Linked DNA regions of Caenorhabditis elegans. The protein of the gene in region 1 purifies or fractionates together with the protein of each later gene. This does not show direct contact. Each region holds a gene or a part of one and is shown in the gene's direction. Other genes may lie near its edges.

What was found.
Region 2: the proteins of lex-1 (region 1) and unc-85 fractionate together in Caenorhabditis elegans (co-fractionation; one large-scale study listed by BioGRID). This does not show direct contact.
Region 3: the proteins of lex-1 (region 1) and asfl-1 fractionate together in Caenorhabditis elegans (co-fractionation; one large-scale study listed by BioGRID). This does not show direct contact.

Annotation. Positions count from the first base shown.
Region 1 is NC_003282.8:12,077,822-12,081,577, forward strand, and holds the start of lex-1 (Tat-binding homolog 7), read left to right. Parts: upstream 1-1,651; 5' UTR 1,652-1,653; coding exon 1,654-1,779; intron 1,780-1,825; coding exon 1,826-1,959; intron 1,960-2,006; coding exon 2,007-2,224; intron 2,225-2,266; coding exon 2,267-3,756. Other genes in the region: tmed-1 (GOLD domain-containing protein), read right to left, coding at 1-128, 178-339. UniProt on the Caenorhabditis elegans protein: Thought to form a complex that enhances transcription from repetitive DNA sequences by modulating chromatin structure.
Region 2 is NC_003280.10:4,700,240-4,703,875, forward strand, and holds unc-85 (putative histone chaperone asf-1), read left to right. Parts: upstream 1-1,829; coding exon 1,830-1,941; intron 1,942-1,990; coding exon 1,991-2,457; intron 2,458-2,505; coding exon 2,506-2,656; intron 2,657-2,725; coding exon 2,726-2,823; 3' UTR 2,824-2,980; downstream 2,981-3,636. Other genes in the region: scc-1 (Sister chromatid cohesion protein 1), read left to right, coding at 1-78, 124-558; F10G7.9 (C3H1-type domain-containing protein), read right to left, coding at 3,245-3,387, 3,518-3,612. UniProt on the Caenorhabditis elegans protein: Histone chaperone that facilitates histone deposition and histone exchange and removal during nucleosome assembly and disassembly.
Region 3 is NC_003279.8:9,656,252-9,660,007, forward strand, and holds the start of asfl-1 (putative histone chaperone asf-1-like protein), read left to right. Parts: upstream 1-2,022; coding exon 2,023-2,134; intron 2,135-2,177; coding exon 2,178-2,470; intron 2,471-2,549; coding exon of another isoform or gene 2,550-2,777; intron 2,778-3,097; coding exon 3,098-3,268; intron 3,269-3,317; coding exon 3,318-3,468; intron 3,469-3,565; coding exon 3,566-3,576; 3' UTR 3,577-3,756. Other genes in the region: lab-1 (Long arms of the bivalent protein 1), read right to left, coding at 925-1,119, 1,171-1,293, 1,340-1,439, 1,486-1,553; C03D6.9 (Aa_trans domain-containing protein), read right to left, coding at 2,550-2,777. UniProt on the Caenorhabditis elegans protein: Histone chaperone that facilitates histone deposition and histone exchange and removal during nucleosome assembly and disassembly.

The DNA of each region.
Region 1 (3,756 bases):
ACTTGATAATCTCCTGGTTGATTCAGTTCAATTCGATGGGATCCGTCGACTTTCAGCTGGTCCTGCTTCAGAATGTTCGCCCCGTGAAGTATCATGAAATTGATATTTAAGTCACCACCGTCGATTACCTGAAATCAAGATTTAAAATGCAGCAAATGGTTTAGAATTATAAAATACCTGATAATCAACTTCGAGGGTTTTGTGTTTTGCAAGATCCACAGGTTGAAAAAAGCACTGGAATTTTCCGGCAGGAACTTCGACTGTAAAATCGTACTCTCCACATAGAATAAATGGAGTGATGAGAAGAATTACAGTGATTATATTGGTGAATTCACCCATTGCTGAAATTAATTGATTTTAAGAGAAAGCCAACAAATTGACGATGCATTTTTGTAGTAAAGCTATTGAAAACGAGGCAATAACATATTTTCAAGACAATAATTTCAGAATTACAGCTTCGGAAAATTGTTTAATGCAATTATTTAATTCATTTATATCTTTAATTTTATAATAAATAAGATAAAAACAAAAAATTAACGAAAAACTCGCATAGTTTACGTGTAAATCTTCAGAGTTTGTCTGTGTCCAATAGAGCGCGATTACACCTATTTTTTTTCAAATCAGAATTTTTCTTTCACTGGCGTGATGGAAAGATAAATTACGATTAAAAACGTTCAATAGGTATAAATTTAATTTTTAGTATGTTTTGAAGTTATTTTCATAAGCTTTTAACGCAGAAAACACGACACCAAATAATTTCTGGGCCTGCTTTACAGGAACATTTTCAAAAATAACTCTTGGGTCTTGAAATGCTTACAGTAGTCTTCAGATTTCTTTTTTCCAGTTTTCATTTGTTTTGCGCATGCGTTTTTTGCGATAAATTGTTTAATTTCCTTCACAAATACATTATTTTTACATCCTTATACGTAGAAAACGACGGTATTTCAATTTAGGTAAAAATTTTCAGAGTTTACTGTGTGAAACATCTGAAAATTGATGCCACATGAAATCCTGAGTATCTTCTGTTCACAATTTATTGGTTTTAAACTTAAATATTGGTTTTGATCAGATTTTTTTCTAATTATTTCGAAATTCGGTTAGCCAACGATAGTGAGTAAATATTGTCAATTTCCACAATTTTCCTTTCGTCCATTTTTCTTCAAATTGATTTGATTATTGATTATTTTTCTTATAATTTTCTTGAATTTAAATTCCCCAGTCTATAGAAATTAATTTTAAACTAGTTCTCATTTTGTGTTTCCATAGAGCGCATTTACACTCTTCTCATGCACTTTTCCCCGCCTCGTGCCTGCCTCTCCCATCGCTCGCTCTCTCCAGCCATTCTCATTTCCACATTTACTTTTCACCCAACGATTTCATTTTCGAAAATGTTTTCTGTATAAAATGCATCCGATTTTTACAGTTTAGCTTTCGTTTTTCGTAATGGAAATATAGTAGTTTCGGTTTCATCGATTACTGCTTCATTCTGTACTCTCCCATAATTTTAAAACAAAAGCCGAATTCTTAGATTAAAACATCTACTTATTCCTCCACTATTATCTTTTCTCATCTCGATAAATTAAAATAAGAATTTTTACGTATCATTTTCACTTGTTACATTATCGATTTTTCGAAAATTTCAGCTTTTCAGAGATGCCTCGCTCAGACGGATTTTCTCCGCGCAAAAATTTGCGGAGATCTGCTCGAGATCACTCGCGTTCGTATGCGGGTCAGTGCAACGAGGATTTTGATGACATGTACGCACCATCAAGCAGAAGAGTGAGTTAATTCAAAACATATACATTTTTAAATTGACTATTTACAGAGAAGCAGCGGTGGTGTAGATGGAAATGGGTACACACGTTCCGGACGGAAAATTAATCACAATCGTTATTACGAAGAGGAATATCATGAGGCAATTAGCAGCGAGGAAGATGAAAGACGATATCGAACTCGAAGGTTTTTTGATAATTTTGACAAAAAATATTATAATTGTTAAAATTTAGAAGCTCGAATTCGATGACATACAGACAACAAGTAATGCAGGCGATAGATGAATCCAAGCGAAATCAAAAAGTGCCGCCTGCAAAACGAAAGCGGATATATTTGTCTGACGAGGAAGAGGAAGATTTTGCTGAAGCGGCGCACGTTGAGAACACAGTCCCCGAGCGTGCAACTCGACGTAGCACCAGAAGACGTTCATCAATGCACGAAGAACTTGGAGGTACACGAATCGCATAATTTCAAAAATATAAGCGAATTTCAGTTTCAGAACAGGAAGAGTCGCCGGTTCGCAGGACTCGCAAAGCCGCCAAGCGCCTTGGAAGTGAGCAACCAGAGGAAAATCTAGCAGCAGATGATCCGTTGCCAATGGAAGGAGGTGGCGAGATTGTGCTACCAATTGCTGAAATTGATGGAATGGCTGAACAAGAAAATGAGGACTTGATTGAGAAAATTGGAAGGGAAGAAGAGGAGGAAGGCGCTGAAGAAGATGAGCAAAGCGGTGAAAAAGATCCAGAAGAAGAAGAGGATGATAGCAGCAATGCAGAAAGTTCAGAGGAATCAACTGCTCCACGTCAATACAGTCTTCGCCGCCGTCAACCAGTTGTCCAGTTCAATGCATCAGAAGCTCGTGAAAATCGACGGGCTCGTCTTGAACATCATCGGGTTGCAAATCAAAACAGACATCACCGCAATCGAAATGGATCTCGTCGAAGACGAAGCGATTCGGATTCTGATAGTGATGATATGGTGCTTCCGAGACCTGATAAACGTCAATCGAGGCCTCATATGCATAACCGTGGAGAACGTGAACGTGGTCGATTTATGCCGATCAATATGACCGAAAAAGAATTGCAGTCTGCCCAACACATTCTGATGGATCGAATGAGAAAAACTGATGCTGGTCAAGGTGCAAGTGACATTGATCCAATGAGTGTTGATTCGTCGGTTGGTTTCGATCAAGTTGGAGGACTCGGTCATCATATTCAATCTCTCAAAGAAGTTGTCCTTTTCCCAATGCTTTATCCTGAAGTATTTGAAAAGTTCAGAATAAATCCGCCAAAAGGTGTCGTATTCTATGGGCCCCCAGGAACCGGAAAAACTCTTGTTGCACGTGCTCTTGCGAATGAATGCCGAAGAGGAGCCAACAAAGTTGCATTCTTTATGCGAAAAGGAGCTGATTGTTTGAGTAAATGGGTCGGAGAGTCTGAAAGACAACTTCGACTATTGTTTGATCAAGCATATGCCATGCGTCCATCAATTATCTTTTTTGATGAAATCGATGGTTTAGCTCCAGTTCGTTCTTCGAAACAAGATCAAATTCATGCGAGCATAGTGAGTACATTGTTAGCACTGATGGACGGATTAGATGGTCGAGGAGAAGTTGTTGTAATTGGAGCTACAAATCGATTAGATACTCTTGATCCAGCTCTACGAAGACCAGGACGTTTTGATAGGGAACTCCGTTTTTCCCTTCCTGATTTGAATGCCCGACGACAAATTTTAGATATTCACACTTCCAAATGGGAGGAAAACAAACCGATTCCGGAAACACTCGATGCTATTGCAGAGAGAACTAGTGGATATTGCGGTGCCGATTTGAAATTCTTGTGCACAGAAGCAGTTCTTATTGGATTGAGATCTCGATATCCTCATATCTACATGTGTTCTGAAAGGCTGAAACTCGACGTTGCCACCATTAAAATCACTTCTGAGCATTTTGGACATGCAATGCGGAGGATCACACCTGCTTCC
Region 2 (3,636 bases), on another chromosome or scaffold:
GACAACTTCGATTTTCCACAAGAAGTAGAACATCAAGAGTGTGCTCCGATCCCTATCCAGAGTGGATTCGCTGGAGAGGTAATTTTTGGTGCGAATTTCAACTCTTAAAATATTATTTTACAGAACAAAGAGAACGAGGACGCAGAGGATTGGTCTGATCCGTTCGGTTCTTCAAATTCCAGCAGACGTGGCCAGCTTGAAGCCTATGGATTCGGAAATACTTCGACCTACAAGGAAGACGATGGCAAATGGGCGAAACGCGCCAAGCACATTCTAAAGAAAGTCTCCGCGGATATTGAGACTTCGGGACAAGCGGACTTCTCATCTGTCACAGCAACTGCCAAGAATCGCAAGCAAGCTGCAGAGCAATTTTATTCGTTGCTTACCCTGGCCAAGTCTCAAGCAATAAGTGTTGATCAATCAGAGCCATACGGAGAGATCGTAATTCGTCCAGGAGCCAATTTCAAAGAAGCATGTCCACTGAGCTCTCCGAAACCGATGGGACTTGGAAATACAATGGAAAATTCCACTATGAGAACCCCAATGAGACCAGTTTAATCGTTTTAGCTTATTATTATTACTCGCCATGCATAGTTTAACCTCTTCATTGTATATGGTATCTCGATTTTCTTAAAAGCAAGTATTATTTTTATTCCACGATTATTCATATACGGATATTATTTTTGCGGTATTATTTGTTCGAAAAGTACGAATGTACTATCTTTTTCTGTAAATAAAAAGCATCACGGTTTTAATGTTCTTGTTAATTGCTCAGGTTCCGATTAGTCGAGAGAAGAATAGCGAAAAAAAAAAGATTAACTCGGCTCTACTCAACTTCAACGTTTCCGTGTACAATTTCATTCATTCCATCTAGTTTCAAGTGATTTGAGATTCGCTTTCTTCGTATGAAAAAATGACTACATAATTATGAAACTTGGTGAATTTCATCTACAAACGCGTAAACGTTATTAAAAAAGCTGTTAAAATCTGGAAATTACATTTTTCCATAACTTTCAAGACAGGACACTCCGCTGCATTAGAAAATGTCTTCGAGACTAAATGTACGGATTTTACTAAATTTTGAGGCAATTCCGAATAATTTTTGCATTTCAGGCCCACCGTGAAACATTCACGAGGGTACGCGCAGAAAGAGAAACGCAGAGGGGGTACGTTTTCGTAAGGGGATTTTTTCGTAAGGAACGCTTTCAGTAGGGCAATGTGCGGCGCGCCTTTTCGCAAGCCCGCCGCACAGTCCTTCGCAATCGATTCGAAATCGATTGAAACCCGTTTTTGTCATCGAAAATTCTGAAAATATCCGTATTTAGCTCGAATAAAACTAATTAATTTCCATTAAAAATCCGTTTTTAATTGAATTCCGTTCGAAATTTCCTGTTGGAAAAATAAATAAATAAATACGAAGAAGCGTGCGGCGCATTGCAAAAAGCCGTGCGGCGCATTGCGAAGGACTGTGTGGCGGGCTTGCGAAAAGGCGCGCCGCACATTGCCCTACTGAAAGCGTTCCTTACGAAAAAATCCCCTTACGAAAACGTACCCCCTCGAAACGCAGAGAACAAAATGCAAGCGCGCTCCACCGGTACGCGCCAATCGCCACCATTTTAACTTACATAATTGCGGGAATTTTTGATTTCTCATTTTTTCTCATCATTTGCGGATTCATTTTTGCAATTTCATTTACCTAAAATTGATACACTTTTTGTTAAAAATGATTTTTTTTTCAGTTTTATTTTGTTTCATGCCAATACTGTTGTGAATTGTCTTTTATTTTGAAAAAGTGGGCTCCTAAATAATTAATTATATTTTTCTTTCAGATGGCTTCCCGTGTCAACATTGTTCAAGTACAAATTCTCGACAATCCTGCGATGTTTGTCGACAAATTCAAGTTGGAGATCACATTTGAAGTTTTTGAGCACTTGCCGCATGGTAAGAAAGAGGAAAATATAAACTCATCGATAATAATGATAATTTTCAGATCTCGAATGGGAATTGGTCTACGTCGGATCCGGAACATCCCGAGACTTTGACCAAGTTCTCGATTCAGCGCTCGTTGGTCCAATTCCAGAAGGACGCCACAAGTTTGTGTTCGACGCGGATCATCCGGATATCTCGAAGATCCCAGTCGATGATATCGTCGGTGTCAGCGTACTTCTCCTGCGCTGCAAGTACAACGATCAGGAGTTTATCAATATGGGATGGTTCGTGGCAAATGAGTACACCGAGGAAGAGCTCAAAGAGAATCCCCCATCGCAGCCACTCATCGAAAAGCTTTCCCGCAAAGTCGAAACTGAAGATCTTCGCATCACCACATTCCCGATTCGCTGGACTGATGAGGATCCGGTCGCAGAGCCTGTCGAGGATGAGGCTAACAGAGTATTCGCGGAAGATGACCTCATGCCTCTGAATGATGATGGCCAGGAAGATGACGATGAGGAGGAAGAGGTGAGAAAATGAATTTTACTTATTCAAAAATTAAATAATTTTATTCAGGATGATGACGAGATGGAGGCCAACGCTGAAGAAGTGGATTTGAACGAGAGCTTCAATGAACGATTGGCCAATGCACTTGACGGGGCCGAACAGAAAGGCGCAGATGAGAAAATGGAGGACGATGGAGCAAATGAGGATGTTGATATGGCTGGTAAGTGTTACTTGGTTTCTCTAACCCCTTCTTGTTTCGTGATGTGTGCTTCTCACCCTGTAATTATAGATGACGAGCCTGGCGTTCAGATCAACACTGACACGAAAGTTCCGGAATCGATGGCGGAGCCACTCTCAGACAAGACAAACAACGAAATGGTCCAGTGATTTCACTTCCAGTTAATTTATATATTTTGAACTTATTTTTATTCCCACCCGATTTTCAGTGACTGTCAAAAATTCACATAATTCGTTCTTTCATTTTTTTTCTTTTCAAGAATTTTCACTTTGAATGTTTTCCGAATAAAACTGTACAGTGTCATTCATTCAATGTTTTTCTTAAAACAAACAACTGAATTATATAAAACTGGTTTATTGTGATTGTACTATATATATAATACACCGGAGTAAAATAAACAGGCAAATTGATATGACAGTTTGAACGTCAGCTTGATTTGTAGAGATCACACCGTTTCAGTAAAGAAATTGATTTAAAAAGAAAATAACTGGAATTTTTAAAAATGTCTAGCGAGTTCTACTTTTGATTTTCCTCGATTTTTACTACATCCTATCCATTTTCTCGTCCGGTTCATCGCCGATTGGCGAAAAAAGCGAACAACTTGCTTTTGTATTCTGGTGTCTGACGAATGACCACATTGAAGAATTGATCCATTAGCTTTTCAAATTCTCGGAATTCCGGTAGAAAGTGCAATGTTTGTTTGACAGCCGGCTCTGAAACGGGCGAGGATTACGGTAGCTACGGGTGACCTGAAAAGTTAGATAATCCTCCAATGGGACGAGTGGGAATCAATGAAAGACACGGGGGGAAGTATAACAGAGAATAATCGGCGTGTAGAAGAACCTATGTCGGATTCGTTGTATTTAAAAGCTTCGCGGAATAGGCCTTCGAGAAGTTGTGCTTGTTGTTCAGCATCAGTAACGTCGTGAAGATGAAGACTGAAAAAACTTTTGTTTAATAAA
Region 3 (3,756 bases), on another chromosome or scaffold:
AAAAAATGAATATTATGCAAACGGAATGAAAGTCACCAAAAAGGACTCAGTGAAAGACCTTGGAATCTTCGTCGACGACAAGCTGAACTTCCAGAAGCACATAAACATCATTTCGAACTTAGCCCTTCTCAAATGCCGGCAGTTACTTCGATCCTTCCGCTCAACAAATGCCAGCCTTTACTTCAAATTGTACAATATCTATGTGCAGCCAATATTAAACTACGGATGTGAAATCTACAACCCGATCTCTAAAAATATGATTAAACAACTGGAGTTCCCACTGAAGTTTTTCTCGAGAAAAGTCTTCCAACGCTGCAATCTATCATACTCATCATATGAAAACCGTCTAGCTCAGATGAACCAAAAGTCAGTTCAACACCTGCGGATTCTTCAAATATTGAGGACCTATCACAACATCCTGTCTGGTGAATACCACTTTCCGAATGCCGCATCAACTGTGAGGAAGGCTCGCTCGCCCAGATATCCGTACATGATGTGCCCTTGTGGATCAATCAACGAAAGCTTCCTACTAGTCAATCTTCACCTATGGAACCGTATGTCCAAGTTACTTCCGGGGACAATGAGCCGTCAAATGTTTGCATCACGATTAAATTCTATCCCGTTTAATTATTTTTCCCACACAACTTGATCCCCTTAACTACTTTTGGTTTACAGGATCATTCAAATTATTCAAGTCTGTTTCTCCCGGTGATTATTCTATACTTTCTGTTTTGTTACGACGATTTGAATAAATATATATATATATATATATTCAATGCTTCGAGAGAATAAATGGGAATCTGAACGAGAAACTAAGATTTCTTATATCACATTAGTATATCACAATATTTAAAACTACATTATTTCTTGAAAAAATTATTCACAGCGTTTTTGAGTTTGAAGTTTTTCGATTAATGGTTAATTTCATGATTGACCAGAACACATCGTTTTATCAGAATCCTCAAAATCCTCATCGAAGTCGGAATCCTCGGATGTATCGGAATCCGAATCATATGGATCAAATGTTTCCTCTTTCTGCATTTTTTCATAATTTTCGTCCAATTCATTCACAGAACTCCCCCAATTTGCTTCATTATTACTGATCGAAGACACAGATTCCTGGAAAAATTCCAGACTTGACATATATTCTAAACAAGTTTTGTCAAATACCTGAGGTTGGTCTTCCTTGAAATCTTCGAACATCGTTCCGGTGGATTCTGCCAACTCATCGGGCACCCAGATCACTTTCTTGCACTCGTCCGTTTCACAATTCTCCATAGTTTCAACAGTAACCTATTAAATGTTAGCTTTGTAGGAAATATAAAATAAAATGAATCACCTGATACACATTGTTCTTTGCATTTCCTTTCAGCACCCACGAGATGTCTTGTCCGTCGTCTTTGCCAATTCCTGTTGCATAACGCTTGAACTCAAACAAGCTAAAAATTACCACTTTTTGAAATATTGGAACTTCTGAATGCTTACCTAAGCCGTTTATGGATTTTCAAGATCCACAATGGGCGAGGACGATCATTTTTCTTATGGCTCACCATTGTTGAATAAAGTCGAGGATCGAGTGAAACGGGAAATTGAGAAAGACAAAATGAAAAATAAATTTTCGCGCATCTTGGAGAGGTCAAAAATTCTAATTTTCGTCCTGACTTGCTCGTTTTAATAATTTCTATAATTTGAAAACAATTAATTTTTTACTAATTCAATGTATTATTTTTCTTTAGTTTTGCCTTTTAAAGCCGAGAAAATAAAGTCAACGTTTTTGCGAATAAAAAACAAAAAAAAAACAGGAATTTGTTTCTCAATGGGTTTCACCACGATTAGCCTTCGTCTGTGCAAAAAAACTACGGTAGTTGGAAAAAGTTTTTCGACATTTTATTTTACTGGATCCAGCTGGAGTTTTCAACCACTTTTTACGGGATTTTTGATTTGTTTCTCGTTTTTAAAAACTATCGTTTGAACAGTTTATGAATCTGCTTTCTAATTTCTAATTTTGAGCTTTTTATTCAGATGGCTTCACGTGTTAACATCGTTCAAGTCCAAATTCTCGATAATCCAGCGATGTTTGTCGACAAGTTCAAAATGGAGATCACTTTTGAAGTTTTTGAGCACTTACCACATGGTATGTATATTATTTACACTGCATAAAAATTAAGAATAATCAGATCTCGAATGGGAATTGGTGTACGTTGGATCTGGAACCTCCCGAGACTTCGACCAAGTTCTCGATTCCGCGCTCGTTGGCCCGATTCCTGAAGGACGTCACAAGTTTGTCTTTGATGCAGAACACCCGGATATCTCAAAGATTCCAGTCGAGGATATTGTTGGTGTCAGTGTGCTTCTCCTTCGTTGCAAGTACAACGATCAGGAGTTCATCAATATGGGATGGTTTGTGGCAAATGAGTACACCGACGAAGAGCTCAAAGAGAATCCGCCTGCAAAGCCGCTCATCGAAAAGGTTCTGTTCTTTTCAGGAAAAAAACACTTTATTTCAAAAGTCATTCACACAAAATTATTTTTGATAAATCAAGCACCAGTTATTGTCTAATGACAGTCCATTCCTGATCGTCAGAACGGTTTTCGTCGAGTCCAATAAAGCCCTCCACCTTACTTCCAACGAAGACGATTGCTCCGGCAATTATAAAACTTGCATAAACAATTCCTCCGATAGCTTTGTCGAAAATGTATGTAGCGCCTCTGTAGTTGCTATTTTTGGTCGCTACACTAGCATGAGTTGAATTATTTTGCGCTGCAGTAGCTTTCATTTTCACAATCTGAAGGAAATAAATAAATATTATTAAACGAGCAATGAAACTAATGAAATAATTAAAAATAAAGAACGAAAAATAGTTGAGAGTGAGACAATGACAATGAGAGAACTGAATACGTTGTGCACGCTACCTGTCGAGCAGATGGACATCATCGATCGGGCTCACGCACACAGATGTACTGTATGGGATGACGTAATAAACCATCTGTTGTGGAAAGAGGGAAAAAGTGAAATGCTCTAAATTAATCTCAAAGTTCCTTCAGTTAAAAAATGTAGATAATTCAGTTTTGACCTTGAATTTTCAAAAATTTTCAGCTTTCCCGTAAAATCGAAACCGAAGATCTTCGCGTCACCACATTCCCAATTCGGTGGACTGATGAGGATCCAGTCGCCGAGCCGGTTGATGAAGAGGCAAACAAAGTATTCGATGAGGATGATCTTATGCCATTGCATGATGATGGGCAGGATGATGACGAGGAGGAAGAGGTGGGTAGAATCTAGCATTATCTGAATATAATAATTTACTGTTATTCAGGACGATGATGAGACGGGTCCCAATACTGAAGAAGTTGACTTGAACGAGAGCTTCAACGAACGAATGGCGAATGCACATGACGGAACGGAGCAAAAGAACGGAGAAGAAAGTATGGAACACGATGGAGCAAGTGGAGATGTTGAAATGGGTGGTAAGTGATACTTTCAATCATAAGTTAGATTGATTTTAATTATTTTTTGTTTTGTCTGTATCTCCCTATGATTGTAGATAATCAACTTTTTGTTCAGATAAACACTGATACGAAAGCTACCGAATCGATGGTCGATCCCCTTTCCGATACAACAAAACGCGATTTCAGATCTGGTTAATTTGTATTTAAATATTGCTTTCTTAACTTGCATTTTTATTCATCTCCGATACTCACTATCAGTTACTGTAAGATTTTTGAATTGCATCTAAAATTACTTCACTTTTTATT